Linked DNA regions of Struthio camelus. The protein of the gene in region 2 interacts with the protein of the main gene of each other region in a biochemical or structural test. Links are inferred from orthologs where the notes say so. Each region holds a gene or a part of one and is shown on either strand. Other genes may lie near its edges.

What was found.
Region 1: the proteins of MAGI1 (region 2) and FCHSD2 form a complex in vitro, tested with the Homo sapiens proteins (2 studies listed by BioGRID and IntAct, with this or other methods). The link is inferred for Struthio camelus from reciprocal best matches to the Homo sapiens genes MAGI1 and FCHSD2.
Region 3: the proteins of MAGI1 (region 2) and NET1 form a complex in vitro, tested with the Homo sapiens proteins (3 studies listed by BioGRID and IntAct, with this or other methods). The link is inferred for Struthio camelus from reciprocal best matches to the Homo sapiens genes MAGI1 and NET1.

Annotation. Positions count from the first base shown.
Region 1 is NC_090942.1:222,626,132-222,633,317, reverse strand, and holds the start of FCHSD2 (F-BAR and double SH3 domains protein 2), read left to right. Parts: upstream 1-4,185; 5' UTR 4,186-4,324; coding exon 4,325-4,438; intron 4,439-6,370; coding exon 6,371-6,468; intron 6,469-7,186. UniProt on the Homo sapiens protein: Adapter protein that plays a role in endocytosis via clathrin-coated pits. Contributes to the internalization of cell surface receptors, such as integrin ITGB1 and transferrin receptor.
Region 2 is NC_090955.1:13,480,373-13,488,111, forward strand, and holds the start of MAGI1 (membrane-associated guanylate kinase, WW and PDZ domain-containing protein 1), read right to left. Parts: upstream 3,006-7,739; 5' UTR 2,712-3,005; coding exon 2,423-2,711; intron 1-2,422. UniProt on the Homo sapiens protein: Plays a role in coupling actin fibers to cell junctions in endothelial cells, via its interaction with AMOTL2 and CDH5. May regulate acid-induced ASIC3 currents by modulating its expression at the cell surface.
Region 3 is NC_090942.1:2,273,184-2,281,164, forward strand, and holds the start of NET1 (neuroepithelial cell-transforming gene 1 protein), read right to left. Parts: upstream 3,053-7,981; 5' UTR 2,926-3,052; coding exon 2,789-2,925; intron 1-2,788. UniProt on the Homo sapiens protein: Acts as a guanine nucleotide exchange factor (GEF) for RhoA GTPase. May be involved in activation of the SAPK/JNK pathway Stimulates genotoxic stress-induced RHOB activity in breast cancer cells leading to their cell death.

The DNA.
Region 1 (7,186 bases), on a different chromosome or scaffold from region 2:
CTCTTTTTTCCATTTCCTCACTCCCTTTTTCCTTTTCCTTTTTCTCTCTCCCTTTTTCCTTTTTGTCTCTCCCCTTTTCTCTCTCTCTCCTTCTCTCTTTTTTCCTTTTCCTTTTTTTCCTCTCCATTTTTCTCTTTGCTTCATTCTTTCCTTCTTTCTCTATTGATCTCCTGCAGCTGTCAAGCCTTTTATTTCCCGTACGCTGGAGCCCAATGTGAAACGCGCCCTTCCCGGGGGGCGGCAGGCGTTCCCCGCACGCTCTCCACTGGCCTTGCGGCGGGCCGAGCCACGCGGTGCGGCTGCGGCCGCCCCCTCCCGCTGCAGGCTGAGGCCTGGCATAACTCATCGCACTCTGCGTCAGACTCGGAAACCCTGCCCCGCCGCCCCCAAAACGCTCCCCAGGGCCTGCCTTCTGTCGAGAAGGATCACAGTTCGGTTTTCCAGGTTTTTAGCCAAACCCGCTGTGCCGGCAAACCTATTTGGGCGGACGCGCGCTGGCACTTTTCGCGGTGGTCCTCGTGTTCCTGTTCCCAAGCGCAAAGCGGGCATTGCTCAGGGCGCGGCGAGGAACGGATGCAGGCGTGGGGTGGCTGCTTTTCCTCCATCCCAGAAATACTCCTTAAGGGCAGGGACCACGCGGCTCTCCCTGCTCTCCGCATCCACCTACCCAGACGCGCGGTGCCGCGGGAGCGCTCCGAGGAACATCGGACCGCTCGGAAGCGGCTGGCTCTCGGGCAGACCAATGACTATCGACCAAACTATATGGGTCCTTCAGCTGCCTCTCCCTTTGAAACGATGCTGCAATCAAAAAAGTGCCAAAAACTCTCTATTTTTCCCCTCCGCTTGGGCTACGCTGTGCCCATTGCAACTGCTGCCACCCTGCGGCGATGTCCCTGCACCCAGCACGGCTGGAAAACGTCAGGTGCAGCGGCGTTTCTCAGCGGGATGCACCCGACAGCGGCGGACACCAAGCTGGACCGCGAAAGGATTAATTATTGTAGTTGCAGTGTCCGGCCGGGACTGCGGGAACTTTCTAACCGCATGCAATTTAAGGAAGAAAAAAACAAGCTTAAATTGGGATATTCAGATTCAGCAGTCAAAACGAATTGGGGCTGAGCGCCGTACGTTACCAGCGTATATCGATGCCCCGCGTCTCACTCATCGTTTTGAGGCGGTTTCCCCGGCGAGAGCGAGTTGTACTAATTAGCCGCACTAAATAACCTAATAGCCGGAGGAAAAAGGAGAATGCAAGTTACGTTTAGTTAAAAAAAAAAAAAAAAGTGTTAAAGACGGTTAAAGCTGTTAGGAGGCCAGAGGTCATTTCCGGTGAGTGGGAGTAAAGCAGCTCAACGATAATAAGGTGCAGCAACGCCGCCGCGCTCGGGGAAACGCAATTAGGAGCCTCGCCCGGCGCTCTGCGAACCGCCCTGGGAATTTCTGCTAAAAAGGATTATTTCCAAGCCGTCCTTCCAGCGGCTCTAATGAAGCTCGGCTGAGCAAGGCCAGGCGACCTCGCAGCCCAGCGGCAGCTTCCCTGTGCAACACGCCTGCGGCCTGCCCGTGCAACGCGCCCGCAGCCCAGCGCCCCCCTGCCCGACCGCTGCGATGCACCAGCCGCCTCCCAGCGCACCGCGCGCGCCCAGCACCGCCCGCCGCCGCCGCCCTCCTTATGGCGCCCCCTAGCGGGCGGCGCGGGAGCAGGCGGGGAGGGCGGCGGGGGGGGCGTGGCCAGCCGGCTCCTCCGTTCTCTCCTCGCCCGGAACTCTATGGTTCGTCCTTCTAGGCAGCTCGGAGGATCACAGCATGGCCGCGGTCCTCCTCAGCGGGGCGCTGCCGAGCCGCTGTTCGCCTCCCGGCTTCTCTCTCTTTTTTTTTTTCTTTTTTTCTCTCTTTTTTTTCCCCTCCCCTCTCGTTCCCCCCCCCCCCCTCCACTCCTCCTCCCCTTTCTCCGCCAGCCCAGCCGAGCCGCCCGCCTCCTGGCTGCCCGGCGGGGGACGCGGTGCCCGTGAGGAAGCGGCCTCCGCCGCCGCGCCGGCAGGCACACGGGCTCCTCTCCGCCTCCTCTTCCTCCTCCTCCTCCTCCTGCTGCTGCTGCAGCCGGGGCCGCATCCTGCTGCCGCGGGGGCAGAATTGATGTGGAGACCCAGCGCAGCACCATGCAGCCGCCGCCGAGGAAGGTGAGGCCTCCCCGGGCGGGGGGGGGGGGCCTAGGGGTGGGGTAGGGTATGGGGAGGGGGAGGTGGGGCTGGGGTAGGGTATGGGGAGGGGGAGGTGGGGTAGGGTGTGGGGGGGTAATGGAGGGCTGGGGTAGGGTATGGGGAGGGGGAGGTGGGGTAGGGTGTGGGGGGGTAATGGAGGGCTGGGGTAGGGTATGGGGAGGGGGAGGTGGGGTAGGGTGTGGGGGGGTAATGGAGGGCTGGGGTAGGGTATGGGGAGGGGGAGGTGGGGTAGGGTGTGGGGGGGTAATGGAGGGCTGGGGTAGGGTATGGGGAGGGGGAGGTAGTGGACTGGGGTAGGGTGTGGGGAAGGGGAGGTGGGGGGGCCTGGGGGTGGGGTATAGGGGGGCTGGGGTAGGGTGTGGGGGGTAATGGAGGGCTGGGGTAGGGTGTGGGGAGGGGGAGGTGGGGCTGGGGTAGGGTGTGGGGGGGTAATGGGGGACTGGGGTAGGGTATGGGGAGGGGGAGGTGGGGGGGCCTGGGGGTGGGGTATAGGGGGGCTGGGGCAGGGTGTGGGGGGGTAATGGAGGGCTGGGGTAGGGTATGGGGAGGGGGAGGTGGGGGGGCCTGGGGGTGGGGTATAGGGGGGCTGGGGCAGGGTGTGTGGGGGGGAATGGGGGACTGGGGTAGGGTATGGGGAGGGGGAGGTGGGGCTGGGGTAGGGTGTGGGGGGGTAATGGGGGACTGGGGCAGGGTGTGGGGAAGGGGAGGTGGGGGGGAGCTGGGGCAGGGTTTGGGGGGATAATAGAGGGCTGGGGCAGGGTGTGGGAGGTGGGGGGGGCTGGGGTAGGGTGTGGGGAGGGGGAGGTAATGGGCTAGGTTAGGCTGTGGGGGGGGTAATGGGGGCTGGGGCACGGTATGGGGCAGGGGGACCTGGGGGTGCAGTGTGGGGGGGCTGGGGCAGGGTGTGGGGAGGGGGAGGTAATGGGCTGGGGTAGGGTGGGGGGGTGGTGGAGGGGCTGGGGCAGGGTATGGGGGGGTAATGGGGGGCTGGGGTAGGGTGTGGGGAGGGGGGACCTGAGTGGGGCCTGGGGGTGGGGTATAGGGAGCTGGGGCAGTGCATGGGGAGGGAGGACCCGGGGGGGCCTGGGGTGGGCTATGGGGGGGCTGGGGCAGGGTGTGGGGAAGGGGAGGTATTGGGGGGGCTGGGGCAGGGTATGGGGGGGTAATGGGGGGCTGGGGCAGGGCATGGGGAGGGGGGACCCAGGGGGAGCCTGGGGGTGGGGTATGGGGGGGGGTTGGGGCAGGGCATGGGAGATAATGGGGGGGGGGGGGAGGCTGTATTTGGGAGAAGCCTGGGCAGGGTGTGGGGAGGGGGGATGCTGGAGGGGGCTGTATTTGGGGAAGCCTGGGCAGGGTGTTGGGAGTCGGGGCGGGGGGGGGGGAAGAAGAGGGAGACAGTGGCTCCATGGAGATGGGTCTGCGTTTGGATGAGGTGGAGGGTTGGGATGTGGGGCTGTGTTTGGAGAGGGTAGGATTCGGGCAACTCCTGGCCAAGGGGCAGCGAGGTCTGGGGGCAGGATGGGGCGTAAGGAGGGGGGTTGTGGGGGGCAGCAGTGGCTGGATGGGGCAGGCAGAGGTGTGGATGTGCTGGGTAAACCGGGGTGGTGGAGCCTGGAGGCAGGAGAGAAGATGAGGAGCAAGCGTTAGAGGGAACAAGTGATTAATTGGGGCTGGGGCAGCCTTAGGGACAATGGGAAAAGGGGCTTTGGGGGGGGGGGATTTCGAAGTGGGTGGGCACGGTGTTGGCAGGAGAGGGGCTGTGCAGGTGGGGGAGGCAGTGGCTGGATGGAGAAGCCTGGAGATGGAATAGGGCATGGGCTGGAGGGGAAGGTGAAGGTGGAGGAGATGGAGGGCAGGGGGCTGGTTAGGTGGAGTACGGTGGGGGTGGCAGTGGCCGCACTAAAGGAGAGCCGTGGGGTGGTAGGGTTAGAAGGGGGGTCAATGATCGCAAAGGGCTAGGCTGTACTTAGGGTTTTAGGACAGCCTGTGTTGGTTGTGGGGTGGTACTGGCTGCGTTTAGAGGACTTTGTTGTGTCTGGGTGGGTTAAAAGCAACTGCTGCTGGTTGTGCTGGAGTGGAAGGTCGCGTCTGGAGTTGCTGTAAGGATGCAGGTTGTCCCTGGGTGGATCAGGAGCGTGAGCAAAGAGGGACAGCCACGGCTGTGTAACACAGGTGTGACGGGAACAATCTGCACATGCTGGTTGCAAACGCTGCGTGAGGTGGGGAGGCTTTTTGGTGTCCTTGCGGCCCACAGGAATACGGGGTGCTTCGCCTTACGGCCGCTGGTGCGGGAGGATGTGAGGTAGATTTGGAAAAAGGTTGTTGCCGGTGCGGCTTGTCTGTGCAGGCAGGTTGTTCATGGAAGACTTGAGCTATGGTGGGGTCTCGAGCGTGAGCACTGATGTACGGAGATGTATTGATTAGTTATTTTGAGAGCTGTATGCAAGGGCTGGAATATGGGGAGAACGGGGGAGCTCGAGGTGGTAAAGCGAGCCTCGGAAAAGGTTTAGAGGTTGCTCACTAATAAGGATCGCGGGGCGGGGGGGGGAGTTTGCTGGTTTTGAGATCATTAGCGCGTTACGTTCGTCGGGGTGTTGTCCGCTGCTTGGAGGCGTGCGCCGAAATGCTTTGCGCTCAGACCGTCGTGGTTCAGTGTGGATGTTTAAGGCTTCGTGCGTGGTGTTGAGATTTATAGAGGAAGACTTGAGGAAGACCGCGCAAGGGAGCGTAAACAGAAATCCCCCTTGTCGTTCCCTGAGCTCCCCAGTAACCCCGGGCAGCCAGCTGCAGCCAAGAGCCCTCCGTGTCTCATTGCTGCCTCTCACCCCCTTGTTTTGCGGGTGGACTCTGCTTTTGTTAAAGGGTTCTTCTTGCTATTTTAGTTTGCGTTTGGCAGCTTATTTATGTTACGTGGGTGTCATTCTTTACCCACATTATTTCATTTGCGGTCATTTCCATTGCATGGGTTATCTTGCGTGGGTTTATTTATTTAAAATAGATTTTTTTTTTTTCATGTGCAGATGAAAGTAAAAACGTTGAAAGTTAATGTTAAAAATAGATTTTTTTTTTTCCTGCTTAATCAGAGTCAGGCCTGGACGTGTGACTTTCAGTATCTCGTAGGCACTAATGTGAAAAATGTCTTTAGTGCTGTGATTAAAGGGTCCTGGTTGTTGGTGGTGGTGGTGTCTTTTTTTTTTTTCTTTTTTTGACTCAGCCTTAAATTTGAGAAGGCTTTTCCTAGCCAATGTGACCTGGAAGATTTTTTTTGCCTGGCTGGTAAGAGGAGGGAGATTTGTGTCTACCTCTTCTCTGCGTTTTTCTTTTTTCTTCCCCCGTTACAGCAACTGTTAGGCATTTCGGTCCTCATGAACGCATAACATCTTTTGATATGCTGGTGATCCTTTTTTTTTTTTTTTTTTTTTTTTTTTTTAGGCTGATACTTGGACTCCTTGTGCTCACTAGAGGGCTTAAATGCCCAGACTGCTTGTTTTTAAAAAAAGAAAAAAAATAAAAGGAGGGGAGAGGATACAGGTTCCCTTGCCTAAGTCAAATCCTGGTCTTTTGCCCTTTTACAAATTAGCGGGTGGGTTCTCAAATTATTGAAATCCTCGGGATTGTGAGGGCCAAAGGAAAATTACGTAATACTCAAAAGCTAAAGCCAGCCTTATGAGGTACCTTATGTAGAAGGGCTCTGATGCACGATTAAGAAATAGCTTTGTTTAAACTGTCTTTAATTATAGTAGTTGTAGGATGACTTAATCAAGACACATTCCACAATTGTGTAAGCTATGCTGAAGTGCTAAGTGTACACACCATCAGTTTTCTCCCTGTTACCCGTTTTCCTTTTTCAAGCTTGTTCCCTCCCCCAATTATTTTCATAGCTCTTTGGAAAAACAAAATAAAACAAAACATTTTTGTTAATGTTAGGGCATAAGTTTGAGATTTGTGACGTATGAAATGAAGGCCTGCTGGGCTTACAGCATTTGTTGAAATCATAGGGTTAAGTTGCATTATTAATTCTGTGTTCTAATTTTCCACTGAAATATGCAAATTCAAAATTGATGAGAGAAATAAATTTTGTTTTCTTTTTGAAATTTGACCTAACCCCTACAGAAAATATATATGGTCTGTGTTTTTTTTTTTTTTTGTAGGTGAAAGTTACACAAGAGCTAAAAAACATTCAGGTTGAGCAGATGACAAAACTTCAGGCCAAGCATCAGGCAGAATGTGAGCTACTTGAAGATATCAGGTAAGGTTACAGAAAATGCAACCAAAAATTCCTTTAAGATCTAGCTTTGGAAGAACTTTTGAGTTACAAAACGTCAGGAACTGACGATGGAATTTCCTCTTTGGATTTCCTGCTTTTAGGCTGTTAAAGTTTTGACACAGCTGGAAATTATAACTGGAGCTAACACAATGCAAACCATTTTTTCTTCTCTTCAATGGGGGAAATGTTTAAAAAAAAAAAGTCGCAAACAACATGCAAAAAGTATTAGTCTTTTCAGCAGTATTTCTCTATATAATAATTTATTTGATTTACCAGTTTAAAGAGGCTGCTAAAATTATTGAAAATATTTTAAAACCACTGATGAACTATGTCTTGTTAGAGATGGCTTTGAATAGCACTTTTAAATGCATTTCATTTTTTCCCAGAAACTTAAAAGAAGGTTCTTACGTTTATAACCTAAACTCTTTTCAGGCTAAGATCAATGGGGAGAATCTAGATAACGTAAACTGTGTTTTTTTATTATTCATTTTAACTAATGCCATTGCTTCCCTTTAACATAAAAGTTTACTTTTAACAAAATACTCACGGAGATAGGGAGTACCTGGAATTATATGGAGGCTTAATCATTCCATTTGGAGAGGGTCGGTTTCTAGAATGGCTATTCTGTAAAGCGTTCATCAGTGAATCCACTGCTGTCCTTCCTTTTGTCACCATTTATTCCACCTGTTAATTAGTTAAA
Region 2 (7,739 bases):
TTAAAATCGCGTTTACAATCTGATCTTCACACTCCTTCACTGTCTGCTCTAGTGCCACACATCTCCTGTTGCATGACAGTTGCCATGCCTATAATGAGATTTTTAATCAACATAATGTATTTTAATTAAAACTCTCTCCTTTCCTACACATATGATCCTGATCCACGAGGGAGTTCCCCACTCCGTGCAGAACACCATGCAGATGCTACGCTATCATTAGGAGAGGCACAAGGAATGGCTTTCTAAACCACAAAAATATTCAGTGATTAAAAAAAAAATCCTATTATATATTCCACTCTAATAAAGCATTTAAAAAAAAAAAAAAAAGGAAAATATGATCTCATAATAGCCAGGGGCTTGGTTCTCACTCCGGGAGGAGGAAGGTCCAAGGTTCAAGTTCCTGCCCTGGCTCCAGGCAGGGCTTTGAACCTTTTTCTCCCAAGTCCCAGGTGAACCCAGCTACTATGAGAAAAAAACAGCTCTCTGACTCATTTTGACCAGACACTGCATCCTAGAGCCGAGACATATTCACCTCTAAATTCTGTCATTTCTGGTATAGTCCCATGACGAGTTTCCATTTGGACTAAGTAAAGTTTTCAACAAAAAAAAAAGTTTAATCACAAATTGCTCGTCTCTTACCCACTTTCCTTTGCCCACAACACTGATCCCATTGCATCAACAGAAGCTGCACGCTAACCCTTCTGCTAAAACAATCAGCATGTAAAAATCTGCATAATTTCCTCATACTTCTCTTTATTTTACTCTCTCGCTCCCCTCCCGGGCAATGAAAATCAGCAAATCAGTTTCACTCCCCGGTTTCCAGTGTAGCAGAGAAAATGCAGCAGGGAAAATAGGCATTTGCTTAAAGAAAACAGTTTTCATTGGCGTCCAGCACTGCTTGTTGGAATATTTCTGCCAACTTAGGGTTTCAACACTTAACACTAACAGTAATTTTGATATATAAGATTTGGGGCAATTCTGAGCTGCTATCATCCCTGGAAGAAGAAAGCAGAGGGCAGAGCAGGATTACAGGGCACAAGTGCCATGCCGAGCAGGACACACCATCGCGGTGATTTACTCCAACGGTGGGAGTTTGAGCAACGGCCGTGAAACAAGTGCATCCAGAGCAGCTCGTAAATCAGGCTGGCGGACAAGGCTTCAGAGGACCCTCCTGCCAACCTACCATAACAACAAGGGCCTATCAACAAAGTTAAAAGATCTTTTAGCTGCTGCATCTCCAGCAACTGACCAGGTTGAAAACATGCCCTGTAGTTTGGGATGTGTATGTGTCTGGATAATAATAAACTCTCTCCTAAAGAACCTCCCAAACGCTCCTAGGAAAACTTCGCTTCCTTCCTGCAGTTATCGATGACCCTGGGGTGCGCTGCTCCGCCACCCGCACCTACAGGTGTTGCAGCACATTCCTGTTTATCCTGCCCAGCCAAATAACCTCAGCAGCTGTCGCAACAGTAACAGTTTCCTGGCACTAAATGCAAGTCCTGCCCTGGAAACTACAAACCTATCAGCCAGGCCTCTTATGCTAACCTGTTAAACAACTGCTGCCTGTACACAGGCATGAAGTGGGACTTAAAAAAAAAAAAAAAAAAACTCACATGGGAAGGCTCTTCCTATCCTTTTCTACAGCTAAATCCGAAAGCAATCCACCTCCTCCCGCCGCCGCTCTGCGGGGTGAGAGCCCAGATGTGTCCTCACCTACGGAAGAGCCAGCCCAAGCCAACTTTCAGCCCGACTTCAGAGAAGCATCCCACGGGCACTGGTGGCCGCTCTGCCCGTCCCCCCGCGGCGATGCGGCCGCCAGCCCGCAACCGCGCTCCACGTGAGCCAACACACGTCGCATGCAGCCGCTGCCGGGGGAGCAGCATCCTCCCGCACAGCCCTGCGGGTCCGGGCCGGGCACGGACGTGCCTCGCTCGCCCCACGGAGCGAGCCCCCGGCCTCGGCCGCTTCCGCTCGGCATCGCAGGACCGCGGGCTGGAGGCTCCCGCGCGCTTTGGAGAAAGTCTCACGGCATTGCTCGCTGCAGGCCAGGAAACTGCAGGCTGATTCGGTACGATAACGTGACTGTATGCAAGTACATGTGTGTATATATATATATATTTATATACACACACACACACTATATATGTGCGTGCATATATACACACACACACACCCCCTCGCACACTACCGCAGTGTGCACGTACCCAGACGCTTGCACACCACCGACACAAGCAGCACCCAGGGGCGCTCCCCTTTCGCGGTCGCCCTAATGCTCGCCCCTCGCCTCGGTACCCAAAACTTCCTGGCCAAGAACAAAGTTGGCCGCGGCGGAGCGCGGGCCGAGTCGAGCCGAGCCGAGCCGCGGCAGCCCCCCCTTCCCCCCCCCCCCGCCGCCCGGTGCCCCCCGGTGCCCCCCTCGCACCTTGTCTGACGGCTTTGACGGCGATGGGGTCCTTGCAGCTGCGGATCACTTCCAGCACGTCGTAGCGCGGCAGCCCCGAGACGCGGACCCCCTGCACCTCCAGCAGCAGCTCGCCCTCGCTCAGCGCCGCCTCGCCGCCCCCCGCCGCCACCGCGCCCGCGTAGGGGAACTCGCCGTGCTCCGCGCCGCCGAGCAGGGCGAAGCCCAGCTGCCCGCCGGGCCCGCGGCTCAGCGAGCACTGCCGCACCCGGCTGGCCCAGTGGTTCTTCTTCTGGACGACTCGCGACATGCTGAGCGCGGCCCTCCGCCGGCCCCGGCGCACGGTAAGCAGGTGCGCAGCGGGGCGCCCAGCCGCTGGCTCATAGACCGCGCCGTGCCGCGCCGTGCCCCGCCGCCGCTCAAGCCATCACCGCCCGCGCCGCGCCCCGCTCCGGCCGCGCGCGGCCCGCATGGCTCCGCGCCCGCGGAGGGCGCGCGCCTGCCTTCGCCTGCCCCCTAGTCCCTTTTCCTTTTTTTTTTTTTTCCCCTCGTGTTAAAAAAAAAGAAAAAAAAACTAACTCAATAAATCCGCCCTCCGCTGGCTCCTCCTACCCCTCGCTTTTGTTTTGTTTGCTGTTGTCCCCCCCTCGCCACCACCCTTGCCCGCCTCCTCTGCGCGGGCGCTGCGCGGCGCCTTTAAGGCGATACAAAGACTCCGGTTGTTTTGTTACATTTCGCTTTACCCCGCTGCACCGCGCTCGGGGCCGCCGGCGCAGGCGCCTTCCGCACACTCCTCCCCGGCCCGCCCCGGCCCCGGCCCCGGCCCCGGCCCCGGCCCCGGCCGCGAGGGCCGTAGTTCAGGTTGTCTCACTCTTCCCGGTTTTAAAGGCCCTGCTTGCACTCGCAGACAACTTTTTTCTTTTCTTTTTTTTTCCTCCTCCCCAAAAAGGAGCGGCGCCAAGCGCGCACCTTGGATTGATTCTGTTTTTAAAATGTCAGCAGGAACAATTCCTTGCTAAGGACGGGCTCAGTTGCGAGTATGCTTCCCCCCTCGCACGCCCCCTGCTTCACTGAGAGTTCCTGAAAGCCCATTGAGAAGTTCAGCCTCTGTAATCTCACGGAGCAGCTCATGTTTCGGGGAAGATTGGCAAGGGGGAGGAGAGGGCTCCTTCACTCTCCTGGGAGCGTTTCCAGAGCTGGCCAAGTTGCAAACCTCTAAAAATCACTGCTCACCTGCACTTGCAGTAGGGGGTCGTTAGAGGATGGGACAAAATGAGGCAGAAGTCCTGAGGAAAACCTTACACAAGTCTATAATTAAAAGTGGTATCAAAGCGCTTGTGCAAGGCTGAATTAAAGCCAACACAGATCTTTAGTTCTCCACTTTTCAATTTCTGAGGTGCATGCGTTTTAATAATATCCTTACTTATTTCCCCAGTATAATTATGTCGAACTGGGACAGACCTATACTGAGGTCCTTGCGGTGGAGAAGACATGCATCAATTTATTTGCCCTTGGCCACAACTCTTCAAAGTTGCCTAGAACTTTAATGCAAAACTCAAACAGAAAATAAGTAAGTGTGCTTGCACCAGCTGGCTCTTCCAGGTCATGCTCCCTGCTTCCAAAACCTGAAAGCCAGGCCTCATTCTGAGCAGTCTTATGCATGACTGAACCCCTTCTAGCAAGAAATTCAGTTGTCAGATGTATGCGTGCCCTATTTTACTGCTGATCAGGACTGAGAAGTGACACAGGGAAACAAAAAGCTTCATCTTCAGCTCCTGCATAGCTGTAACACACTCTCCGCTGGCACAGTCTGGCGGATTTTTGCTGCTAACTGTATTGCTATCTCATATCACATCTCTCCAGCTACACATTTACTAAAATGATCCGCGATGCAGAAGGCTCAGGGGAGTCGGCATCCAATAGCTGGGGATGGAGCTCAGCACAACGTGTCCTGGTGCTAGCCAACTACTTTGCCGGCTAGCCAGACCTGTTTCACAGACTACAGAAGAGGGATGACTCTGATAGGTGACTCCAATAGCTTCCTTGCCCGTACTTCTGCCCTACATGAAGTAATGATGCCAGCCCTTTCATCATACCCAGTGTCCTCCCCATCACTCCTTTCCTCCAGCCAAGACCCAGCGTATGGCTATTTTGTAAAATCCCCATCATCCTAGGGGATGCCACTAGGGTGCCTAGGGCATGAAGAGCAGTGTCTGGCCTGAACAGTATAGCCACCTTTAAACCAGAAAACTGGAACACTTTGTCCAATGTCATGCAGCACACTAATGAAAAAGTCGGGTATATCCCCAGTTCCCAGGCTTGTGAATGTACTGGGTCCTCGTGCACCTCTTTCCAGGTCCGTAGGGGAAGTATATGGGATCTTCAGCCCTTCAGAAAGCTGCAGCGAGTAGCCCCTTCCAGGAAGTATCGCAGAGCCTGCCTTCCTGGCTGCTAAGGGCAAATGCAGAAATGGACTCCTGAAACGCAAATAACCTACTACGTGTAGCCTTTGTTTCCTTCCATCTTTTTAACATTTCCATTTATACTTCCTTTTTAATATTTCTATTTGGAATTCAATTACTTACATTTCCTGCTCAACAAAGCCGTGCCGATGCTCTTCGTCCGAGCTGCAATTGCCTGGCGTAACTGCCCTACGTCTGCTTTCACTGCCGCTGTTACCAACTACCCAACTTGTCACTTTTAGGATCATGACATGCTTTTTATGCTGCCTTGGCTAGCAAACAGTGGATCAGTGATCAGGTTAAATCCCCCAGGGAGTTAATGCTCAGGAGACCCACTAGCCGTGAGCAGCGTGGTTAGAAGGGAACGATTTCCATTTCATCTGCATGCCAGCTGATGGAAGTCGTGTCACACGTCTTAGGATCACAGCGCAGGGAGGCTCTTGTTCACAGCTGAGAACTGGGTGTGACGTATTTTCATCACTTTCATTTTGTGTGATGTGTTATGTGACAGCCCTTCTAAGCGAAGATTCATCTGGGAGCCATGTGAGCATCACATGAGTTGTGGCTGCCCCGAATAGATCTTACAGAACTACTCATGGAAAAGTTATTTGAAAAACACTATTTAGAAAAACAGTTTGCCAATAAGGTTTATGACATGACAGATTTCTGAGGGACATTTCTGTTTGCCTACAAACGCTACGACTCTGTAATGCAACTGTGATCTGTTCTCGTCTTCATCCTAATGCTGTACTCTCATGTCTTCGCCACTCTGCTCCCAAAATTGCTCTTACTGGTAATTAAGAAAACTCACAAGCCTCAGCTAGAACTTTCTCTTAATTTTAAGATTTTCCCTTCAATTTTGCTCTGTTCATTCTCTGTTCAGCTGACTTCCTCCCACTTTACCTACTAGTTGCATCCAGTAAAGACCAGTCGGTCAAGCTATTAGGAAAGTCAGGATAGCCCTAGATCCTAGAAGGTGGTATTGCTTGTAACAGCTCAAACATAACCAAGACGACTTTTTCGTTGTCCTCATTCTTGACCCTGCAGTTGCCCAGAACGTTATTGCTGCAGCAAGATGATTTCAGGACATACCTGCTCAAACTGCTTCTATTAAAGGAAACCCTTGGTCAGCTGTTAATAGTGCTGAGCCAGTGACCCGCAGCAGTGTTGGTTCTGCCCCGAAGAGTCCCTTACACCAGCCAGTTAGATAATCAGGTCATTAGGCTGTACAAAACCCTGCCTTTGCATTTCAGCTCTGAAGCATGTCCTTTCTCTCAGGGGACTATAGTCATGCCTTTGCAGGGGAATAGATTTAATGATCTAACAGACCTTCTTCATCTCTAATTACTGCCATTCCAATAATAATACCCTCCTTTTTGCAAGGGTCTCTAAGTACTTTAGGAACATTAGTTAACCAAGCTTCATAGTGTGCCAGGGGAACAGCTGAACATTAACACAGGGCAAGGAGAACCTCAAACATGTCTCCTTTCTGAGGAGGGCTTGCTTCAGGCATCCTACCTCACCTGTACCGCCTGCAGGACCAGCTCAGAGGACAGCATGCTGTTCATCAGCTCGTAGCCCACCACAATGCCAGAAAAGCTGATTTAGGCTGGCTCAGAGCTTTATGCAGAGCCCGATTCCCTTGCTCCTTCATCTGTAGAGTTGCTGAAGTTTGGTGACTCAGCTGTCCGTTGCCTCTAATCTGTCAGGGAGCAGGATGTTGCTTTCTTCTTCCTCCAGAAAGTGTCCTTCATGCTTGGGGTCCCACTATAAATATACAACAACTAGAGTGGTTTTTTTCAGAGAGAATATTGACCTTCAATTGACCAAGGTCTTATAAGCGTCTCAAATTCCACACTGTGCCCTGGATTTTAAAATGGGTCAAAACTCCCCCAAGCATCAAATCATTCTCTCTGATTTCATACCAAAACCAGTTTTACTTGTTTTGGGATGGAAAACCATGTCTAGTTACTGAGAACTTTATGGGTTCATCCACCAGAGAGTTTAAAGAGAAACTGGAGTGACTAAGGCTACAAACTGTAAGTACAGATGGTTTAATACAGCAAAATTAATGTTTAATTTCCAGCTAAAATCCAAACCCTCAATGCTGTGACATCATAGGCCTTGAAGCTTTGAGAGCCTGACCCTGTGGATCCTGGGGTAAAAAGAGACTTTAAACAAGGTCTAGCAATTGTACCAGTGAGGTTTCCTGTTGATACACTCACACTACTAGTATCTATCAATACGAAAATCCTATACTGCTCTATTTCCCAAGTAGGAATCATTGTTCATAGTAGTCTCACCTGTCTTTTATCAGAGGAGGATTTTCGGTGTGGTCAGAGATTTTTGTACCAAGCTGATCCTCTGATAACAAGAGAGAATCTGCCTGGCTCTGCTTTGGATCTATCTCTAGAAAACATTTCGATAGAAGATGACCCAACTCCTGCCTTGGCAAAGCCTAGCTATAGGTTGACCCCTGGTATTTGCCGACAACCTCCCAGGCATCAGGACACGAGCAGTTCTGGTTAGAGCTAAAGACAAGCCAGCATGGACAGGTACTGCCTGAGGTCTTACACAGAGCTGGGTCAGCTAGCACTGTCCTGAAACGCAGCTCCTCGCGTAGGATGATCTCCAGCCTCCTGCCCCTGAAGTGGCTACAGCGTTATTTCATGGCACATTCTCCTGGAGATAGACAGAGTAAATCTGTGACCACAGGATCCTCTGAAGAAAAAGGCAACTCGCCCCTTACTTGGATTCACTGTGTCACCTTCCTCTACAATTTATTTCAATAATATCACACACAGTGGAATATAAAGCTGAAGATCAATCTCATAATCATATTAAAACACCCCAGGGTGTATTTTATAGGGCCATTA
Region 3 (7,981 bases), on a different chromosome or scaffold from region 2:
TCTTGGGCATTCACAGCAAAGGAAAAGGGGGCAACGGGCACAAGTTGTAACATGGAAAATTCTTATTAGATAAGTAAGAAGTTTTTCAAAATAAGTGTGGTCAAACTCTGGAACAGGGACCCAGAGAGATGGAAAAATCTGCATCCTTGGAGGTATCTGAAGCTCGCCTCGACAAGGCCGTGAGCAAACCGACCTAACTTTGAAGTTGCTTTGAGCAAGGGTTGGACTACAGATCTCCAGAAGTCCCTCACTAATTAAACTTTTCTACTATTCTACAAACAAATCTTGAGTCAGTGACTTCTTGAACTGTTCTACCTACATCACAAGATCACATCTAGGTGCTGAGCTGGCATCAATTTGCCTGTGAGAAAGTCTCCGGATGAAGGTTTAATACATACATGTCTTATCCGTGTCAACTTCTTTCAGTTTTATCGTAATTTTGCCCGGCCTCTCCACACAGACAAGCCTCACAAAGGAATGCACGACTATCCTACAAACAGCCAACATGTTTCATCACCTCACCAAGCCACTGAAGCCTTTAATTATACTATGCTTTTCAACTGCATTAATTATGGAACTACAAGATGATACTGCAGTACGCTTCAATGAAAACATTTGTTTTTAAAGCTCATTAAAACGTTCTGCCATCCAGAACGCACCATGCTTACTAAAGCCAGCCATTATGAAAGCCAAGCTCATTTACGTTTAACTTGCTTTGATTTAGGCCGCCAAATAAAGAACACCCATTCCAGCCTCTGGGGAATTTCACCAGGTCTCAAAACAAGGGACTGCCCAAGTCCCCTTTCTCCCACCCATTTCCAGGGCACAGATGAGGCTGGAGAAGAGGCAGGAGCATCTCTGGCCAACATAACCCAGGTAGTGAAAAGCAGCTTCCAGGCAGGGCTGTAAAGGGTTGCAATCCCCCAGTCAGTACAAAGAACTATGGCAGTAAAGAAAGGACCCCAATTGCATCTCGGGGCGAACTGCAGCTTGCACACAGCATTTGGAGGTACAGACCGGGGTTCAGCGAGACACAGCCAGAGCCACCTTTGCCAGAACTTGAGGGTTTAGAATTTTTTGGTACGCTACAGATCGCTTCACTTAGAGGACCTGAAGGCAGACTGTAGTCGCACAGAGGAAACAGAACAGAGGAATGTATATTTCTGTGTAAGGGGGAACGGTGATAAGTCAGAAGTTTTATAGATATGCTCTCTTCTCTTGTCCTAAGCCAGCTGACAACCACTATCCTAATTTAACAGCTTAGGGCATCCACATATCCAAGTCCACCATCTCCAGAGCTGGGAGTGTGCTTCCCTCACAATGCAATGCACTTTCCACACCACCAGCATGATTGCAGAAGTCATTTCCTAACCCCAAGGGCAACAGAAAACACAAGCCACCTCTGATCAACCTGGGTTGGTCTAGATGTTAGTCAGCAGGAGATGGGTCATCCAGGGGTCAACTGCAGATAGGGCAGGATCTGCTTATAAACACAACCAGGTATTGTTATTGGGGTCAACACAAACTGAGCTTCTGGTTAACTCAAGAAGTGACAGTGTCCTTCACAGGGTGGTCTTGGGAAAGGTCTCAAAGTCCAACAAACACATCAGAATAACTATAACACATGGCACACCAAGGCAATTAAACAGAGCAAAAGCCAGGGCAGACCCTGGAGCCAAAACAGGTCTTCCCACCTCAAGGGAATAAGCTGATCAGGCATTCCAGCCCAAAGAGATCCTGAGGACCAAGCAGGGGTAGCTGGCAATGGGCAACCCAGGGGGGAAACCTGCCCATTCTGGCCCTTCCTGCCAGGCAGCCTCAGGCTCCCAGTTTTACTGACATCTGCTCCCCACTCCGACCCACCAGCTGAGGCCCCTAGGGATCAGCACCTGATACGGGTGACAAGGGGAGCCCAATCCCCTCAGACATGTGGCAGCACAATAAGAGCGATTGGAGAGGGGAGAGGACACCCTAGGCCCCAATCACACTGATGCCCACCCTAGGAAGCAGCAAGGGCCCTCTCCTCTTTCTGCCAAACAGGTGGGGGCTGCAGGCAGCCCAGGGGATACCCCCATGAGCAAGGTGGGAGGAGGGAAGTCTTTGCATGAAAGCCTCAGGGTAGTTTTGCACCCAGGGATGGAGAGAGGAATGGCCACCTTCCCCATTATGGGATGGGGCATAGAGGGTGATCCCCTACAGCCTGCAGATCACCCCTCTCCTCTATACATACACTTACAGGACAGGAACAGGCAAGGGATTCCACACACCCTTTATGGGGCTGACAGGGATCCCCTTAAACCACAAACAAGTTCCCCTTATAGGATGGCAAGGGGTGACTTACAGCCTAGAGAGTACCCCCTTATAAGACAGGAGGGGGGAAGAAGTCCCCTGCAGGCTAGAGGGTGTCCCCTTATACAATAGGGAGGCAGGGGGCCCTTCCTTATAAAATAGGAGGGGAATAGGTCCCCTATAGTCAGCAGAGGGAAGCACCCCTTTAAAAGGCAGGAGGATGAAGGGTCCCCTATGGCCTGCAAGGGTGGGTCTCTCTTATAAGAGAAATGGGTAAGTGGTCCCCTACAGCCTGGAGGGGGGGGGTCCCCTCTTATAAGATAGGGGGAAGGCACAGTCCCTTCTATAAGGCAGGCCGGCAAGGAGCTCCCCCTCCTTTAAACGGCAGGAGGGAGCAGGGTCCCCTCTTCTGAGATACACGAGGGACACAGGGAGCACCGCGGCCATCGGCGGGGCTCCAGCCCCTGACGCGGCGGCGGGGAGGGATCGCGGCTCCTACCGGCTGCAGGAGGCGGCCGAGGCGGCCCCGCCGGGGGTGCTGTCCGCCGGCGGCGGCGAGCGGCTGGCGCGGGCCCCAGCACTGACCCTGCCCCGTCTCCGCCGAGGGGGCTTCTGGCCCGCGGGCTCGGCCTCCATGAGGACACGACACGTCGCGCCGAGAGCGGGGAAGGGAGCGGGCACCGGCCGCACCGCTCGGCGGATAATGGCGGCGGCGGCAACAGCAGCGAAAGCAGCGACCGGGGGGTTTGAAAATGGCGGCGGCGGCGGCGGCGGCCAATCAGCGCCGCGGGAGGGGCGAGTTGCTAGGAGACGCGGGGGGCGGGACAAGCGAGGGGGGCGCGGCTGTGAGGCGGGAGGGGCGGCTGCTGGGCGGCCCCGGCAGAGCGCAGCGCCCCCTGGTGCCCCGCGCTGCAGCGGCGCCTGAGGAGGACCCCGGCGGGGGGGAAGGGAAACTGAGGCACGGAGCCGTCGTGCCCGGCGGCGGCCCGGCTCTCCCCGGCCTCGCCCCCCCGTCTCCTCCTGCCCCCCACCCTTCCCCTCAGCCTTTTCTCCTCAGCGAACACGGAGCCGGCGCCCTCGTCCCCTCAACGCCACCGAAGGGTGGCCTTCCCCCCCCCCCCCGGCCCCCGGCCTCAAATCTCAAAAATGTACCTCAGAAATCGCCTCGAGTCACGAAAAAGTACCTCAGAAATGGGCTCGAAGCACGTACGAGAGGGTCGGACGCGGGGTGAGCCGGGGCCAGGGCCCCTCAGGGAGCTGGGCTGCCCCCCTTTCCCTTCTGCCTTCCACAGGGGTTTCCCCCTCTCCCTGGAAGAAACGGGAGGTGCCCTGAACAGTCACCGAGCTGAAGAAAACACAAAAAGTGGGGATTTGTATCGTAGGGCTCAGGAAGGAAGGGGAAGGGGGGGGGGTCTCCGCTCTCGGACACGGGGAGAGGCGGCCGGGGCGGGGGATTCGTGCGTGGTGGCCTTTCGGCGTGGCGGCGCGCAGCCGCCGCGTAAACGGTTTACGAGGGGCTCTTAAATTCTCACCCCACTGGGGAAAAGCAGATGCTTTGGCGAGGCGGATGTTCGCTAGCAAGCCCCCCACCCCCGCAAAAAAAAACCAAAAAACAAAAAAATCCCCCCAAAACGGCCTTAAAAAGCCGTCAGGATCCCTCCCGCTCCGCTTTGGGTTAAGTGGGACTTTGAGCGAGGCGTTCAGACACGCTCAGCTGTTAGTTGGAAACGTGGCCCCGTTGGGCAAAATCTCAGTTTTCCTCCGTTTCAGCCTTCTCCCCCTGCGGTTAGTGGCTGTTGGCAGGGGACAGGGCTTCTCCCCTCATGCGGTGGTGGCAGCCCCAAAGTTTATAACGATTCGACTGGTCCTAGGAGAGAGGGAGGGTCATGACTTACCCTCGTTTAGAAATTGGGAGTGCCCGCTCTGGAGCGCAAGTCTGCCTGTAGACTAGACAGTTTTGGCAGAAAATCTCCCTTTATCGGTGCTGGCACCCCAGGCAGCCGTGCTGGAACGGCCCTTTACAGTTTATCATATTCGTTTCAGCGCAGGTTGGTCTCAACTTCTGTACAGCAGTTGGATGAAATGCTTTGAAACCCATAAAAAATCCTGCATATGTACAAGGCATTTCACTGACTTGGCTGTATTTTAGTAATAAATCAGAAATGGATTTTTCAGAGATATTAAAAAAAAAAAAAGCCTAACTTTTGAAGTAGAACCTGCAGCTTGGTTCAGAAAAAGTAGATATCCTCCCTTTAAGCTGAACTACAGGAGGCTGCCAAAGGGTTAAACGTAACCATCTGCTAGACAAAGACTTGAAGGCTTTAGAAAGAAGATGTACTTCTATTTTGAAATGTACCATTGGGATGGGAAGAAGAGCAAGCGTACCCAATACACCAGGATTGCTCTCAGCAGAGTATTTTGCTATGCCAGAATACTCAGACTTAGCACTGATATTATGCCAAAGCTAGGAGAATTAATTCTGCTTGTACTATTCCAATGTGGACTTAACGTGACAAAACTGTGAAGTTTCTATTTTTGTTCAAACCTAAACGGTTCAGCGAATTGCGTTGCCCCGCTCGGTATTTCATTTATATTGGCTTATAGTCACTGATAGGCAATCGTACGCTTCGTGTCCACCAGCCAAATTGTTCCCTTCTTCACAGTCCTCTACAGCTTTGTCCTCTGCCCTGGAGTCCTCCCCTGCTCCACATCAGTCATGCCACACCACATACCAGTCACAGAGGCCTGTTTCACGTACATCACGTTGAACACATGATTAGCGGGACCCTGGTTTCTGTAGCAGCCCTCCACAAACTGGTGTGTCCTCTTGGTGTTGAAGAGCTCCTGGTCTTTCAGGACCTCCTATTTTTTGCATTCTGCGATGGCCGCAGTCACGTCCCTGGGCGCTGTTTTCCCCCACTACAGTAGGCAGCAGACCATGGACTTATCAGATGACTTTTAAATCCAGGTGAAGAATTCCCTGGTGATCTATGGCATGGAAAAGGGCTTGTGGCAGGCCTTCTCTGCTGAGACTATAGGTGCGTAGGTCATGAAGGTGAAGCATATCTAGATATGGGGACACCAGGGACAGGGTCGCCAGGTTGGTCTGCCTTGGTGAAGAACCTCTCATTGTGAGCCACAGGTCTCCTATTGCCAATATTTAGGAAATGTGAGAAGCCAGTCCAGCTAAGGGACCCTTTTCAGGTCTCTTGGGAAGGAGGTTGTGTTCCTTCTTCCGTTAGATTTCCACCGGTTTCTGGTATTTCTCCAGTGACTGTGGGCTCTGGGGCAAGGTGGATGCTCTGGACAGCTACTTCCTCAGTCCACTCGCACTAATGAATGATACAGAGGAGCTTATTCATTTGCTTGGTTATAGGAACGATGCCTTGTGGTTGGACCTCATGTATGAGGCTGTACTGAATTGTCTGTCTGCATACCAGCAGCCTGCCTCCTAGAGATAGAAATGCATAACCCTTGCGTAGGACTAGGAAAGAAGAAAACCAAGAAGCTCTATGAAAGAAAACTGTTCACAGTTTCAATTCCCACCCAAGAGGCAGTAGCAGCAGCAATAATTTCATCAGAGGAGGCAGAAGCTGCACAAGAAAAACCCTCCTCATGGAGTCTCCAGCAGTGACGTGACACTAAAGAGATCTGCCTCCAACACATTCCTCCCTTGCTCCACTGTACGGCAGTACGTATCAGACTGGAGTCATCATGCCCGAGGGAAGCCTCGACTTATTATCACAGTTGCTTGGGCAGCTGAGGCCAAGCACTGGGCCAGTAGGGTACATTACTCTGCTAATCAGCATGTGAGCAAGAGCCTTCAGCTGGACGCTCTAGCCTCACCCAATGTCGTCTTCTCCTGGCTTACACATGAGACTTACCAGCCCTGTGTAGCCCTGATAACTGCTGGTTGTGCAGTTTATGCACACCAGAGCTGGAATTTTAATAAGCATAAGTGGATTTAGGATGCTATGTAAAGATATCGTCTCACACACAGACATGAAGGTCAACGTTGGTTGGCACTACCAGGCTTCCTTCTGGGCAGGACATTGTGGCAGAAGCTCAGCCTTGCTTCGGGCCAGATCCTGACTTTACATCAAGTCCTCAGTAGTGTCCGAGGCTCTTTACACCACTGGAAACGGACTCCGGCAGTCCAGTGTGTATCAAAGACAAGTAATAGCTAAAGACTATGGACACACAGTATCCATGATAACTCATGAGTGGTGCACAGCTAGAATTACTCAGGGAATTGCTCAGAGGCTTCCTGCTGATGTTGCCGCATCTACCTGCTAGCAAATGCTGACAGAGGTTGCAAAATAGTTTCACTGAATTTTCAGAAGCTCATAATGCTCCAGGAGAAATTGTAAGTTTGATCTTTGCTCCGTGCTCCATCTTTGGGGCCAGAAAGGACTTTATTCAAAGGAGGGCTTTTGCCTGCTAAGCTTTCTGCTCCCAGCTCTCCGCAACGAGTAGTGATGACTGTATTGACTTAAATGGATAGCCTGTCTAGTGAGGACTATGGCCTTTTGGAAAGATTTTTTGGATTAGGCATGGGATTAGTAACACATGCATTAAGGACTTGTGGTTCTCAAACAAGCAGACTTAATTAGGCAAAGATTAAAGCACGCTTCATTGACACCGATCTCTTTTAGGATTCAAAGTGTCGAGTTATTTTGCAGAATTTTCTACACTTGGCAATGTTGCTCCTTTAAGCAGTTTCACTACTTTGAAAGTAGTCGTCTGGAGGATTCGAGGCAGCTTAGACGTTTATGGTGCCATAAAACCTTAGGCCATAAATTGCACATGATGAGGGTGCATGTCACCATCAGTACTTCAAGTCATTAAAACAAAAAAAAAAAGCTGTCTCATATTTTCATCTTTAAAATCCTAGAAAATAAGTGCTGTAAAACTACATGAAAATTGCCCTTATGTTCCAGTTAGTCAGTAAGCATTAGGCTAGATAATACATGTGGTTCGCAGCCACAACAGTAACTCTGCCAAGTGACACAGTCAACTTGTGAAAGGTTTCAGAGCTCTTCCATAAGGCTTATGAGATATCCAAGCTGCCTAAGCTGTCGTCGTAAGCCTCGAGTGATGCATTTCCCAACTGTTGCATACCGTGCAGAATTAATTCCTTTCAGGGGGAAAAAAAAAAAAAAGCAAATTAGTCTGGATAATCCAAGTCATTCTGTTCTTCCAGTCTCACTCCTTGCACCTTCTACAGATATTACTTTTAGGCCTCACTGGTGTTCTGTCTTAGCCAGAGAGCTAGCCAATGCAAAAAAGCCAATTTTAATAATAGTGCACCCCTTACACATATTTTTGCAGTGCTTTCCATCTTTCAGAAGGTGAAAGAAAAAGAATTTTGCTTTTACATCCTCAAACCAATTGTTTATATAGGCTTAACGAGAGCATTTGTCATTGTTGGTGAGTTAGGACCATTAGAAAAGCCCCATGAACTGTAAGTAATCAGAATCATCTATCATTCGTCAGCTTTGTCTGTGGCAACGGGAAGGGCTCTTGCTCAAAACTTCTCCTTTTCAGAGCTCTGTACAACAGGGGAACAGGTGTCTTCAACCACATTGCAAGGTCCTTTTGACGCTGCTGCAAATTTGATTTCAGCAGCTCCCACCCAATCCTTTTCCGTAAAAGAGATAGCATATGTGTAGAAATGAGAAGACCTCACATG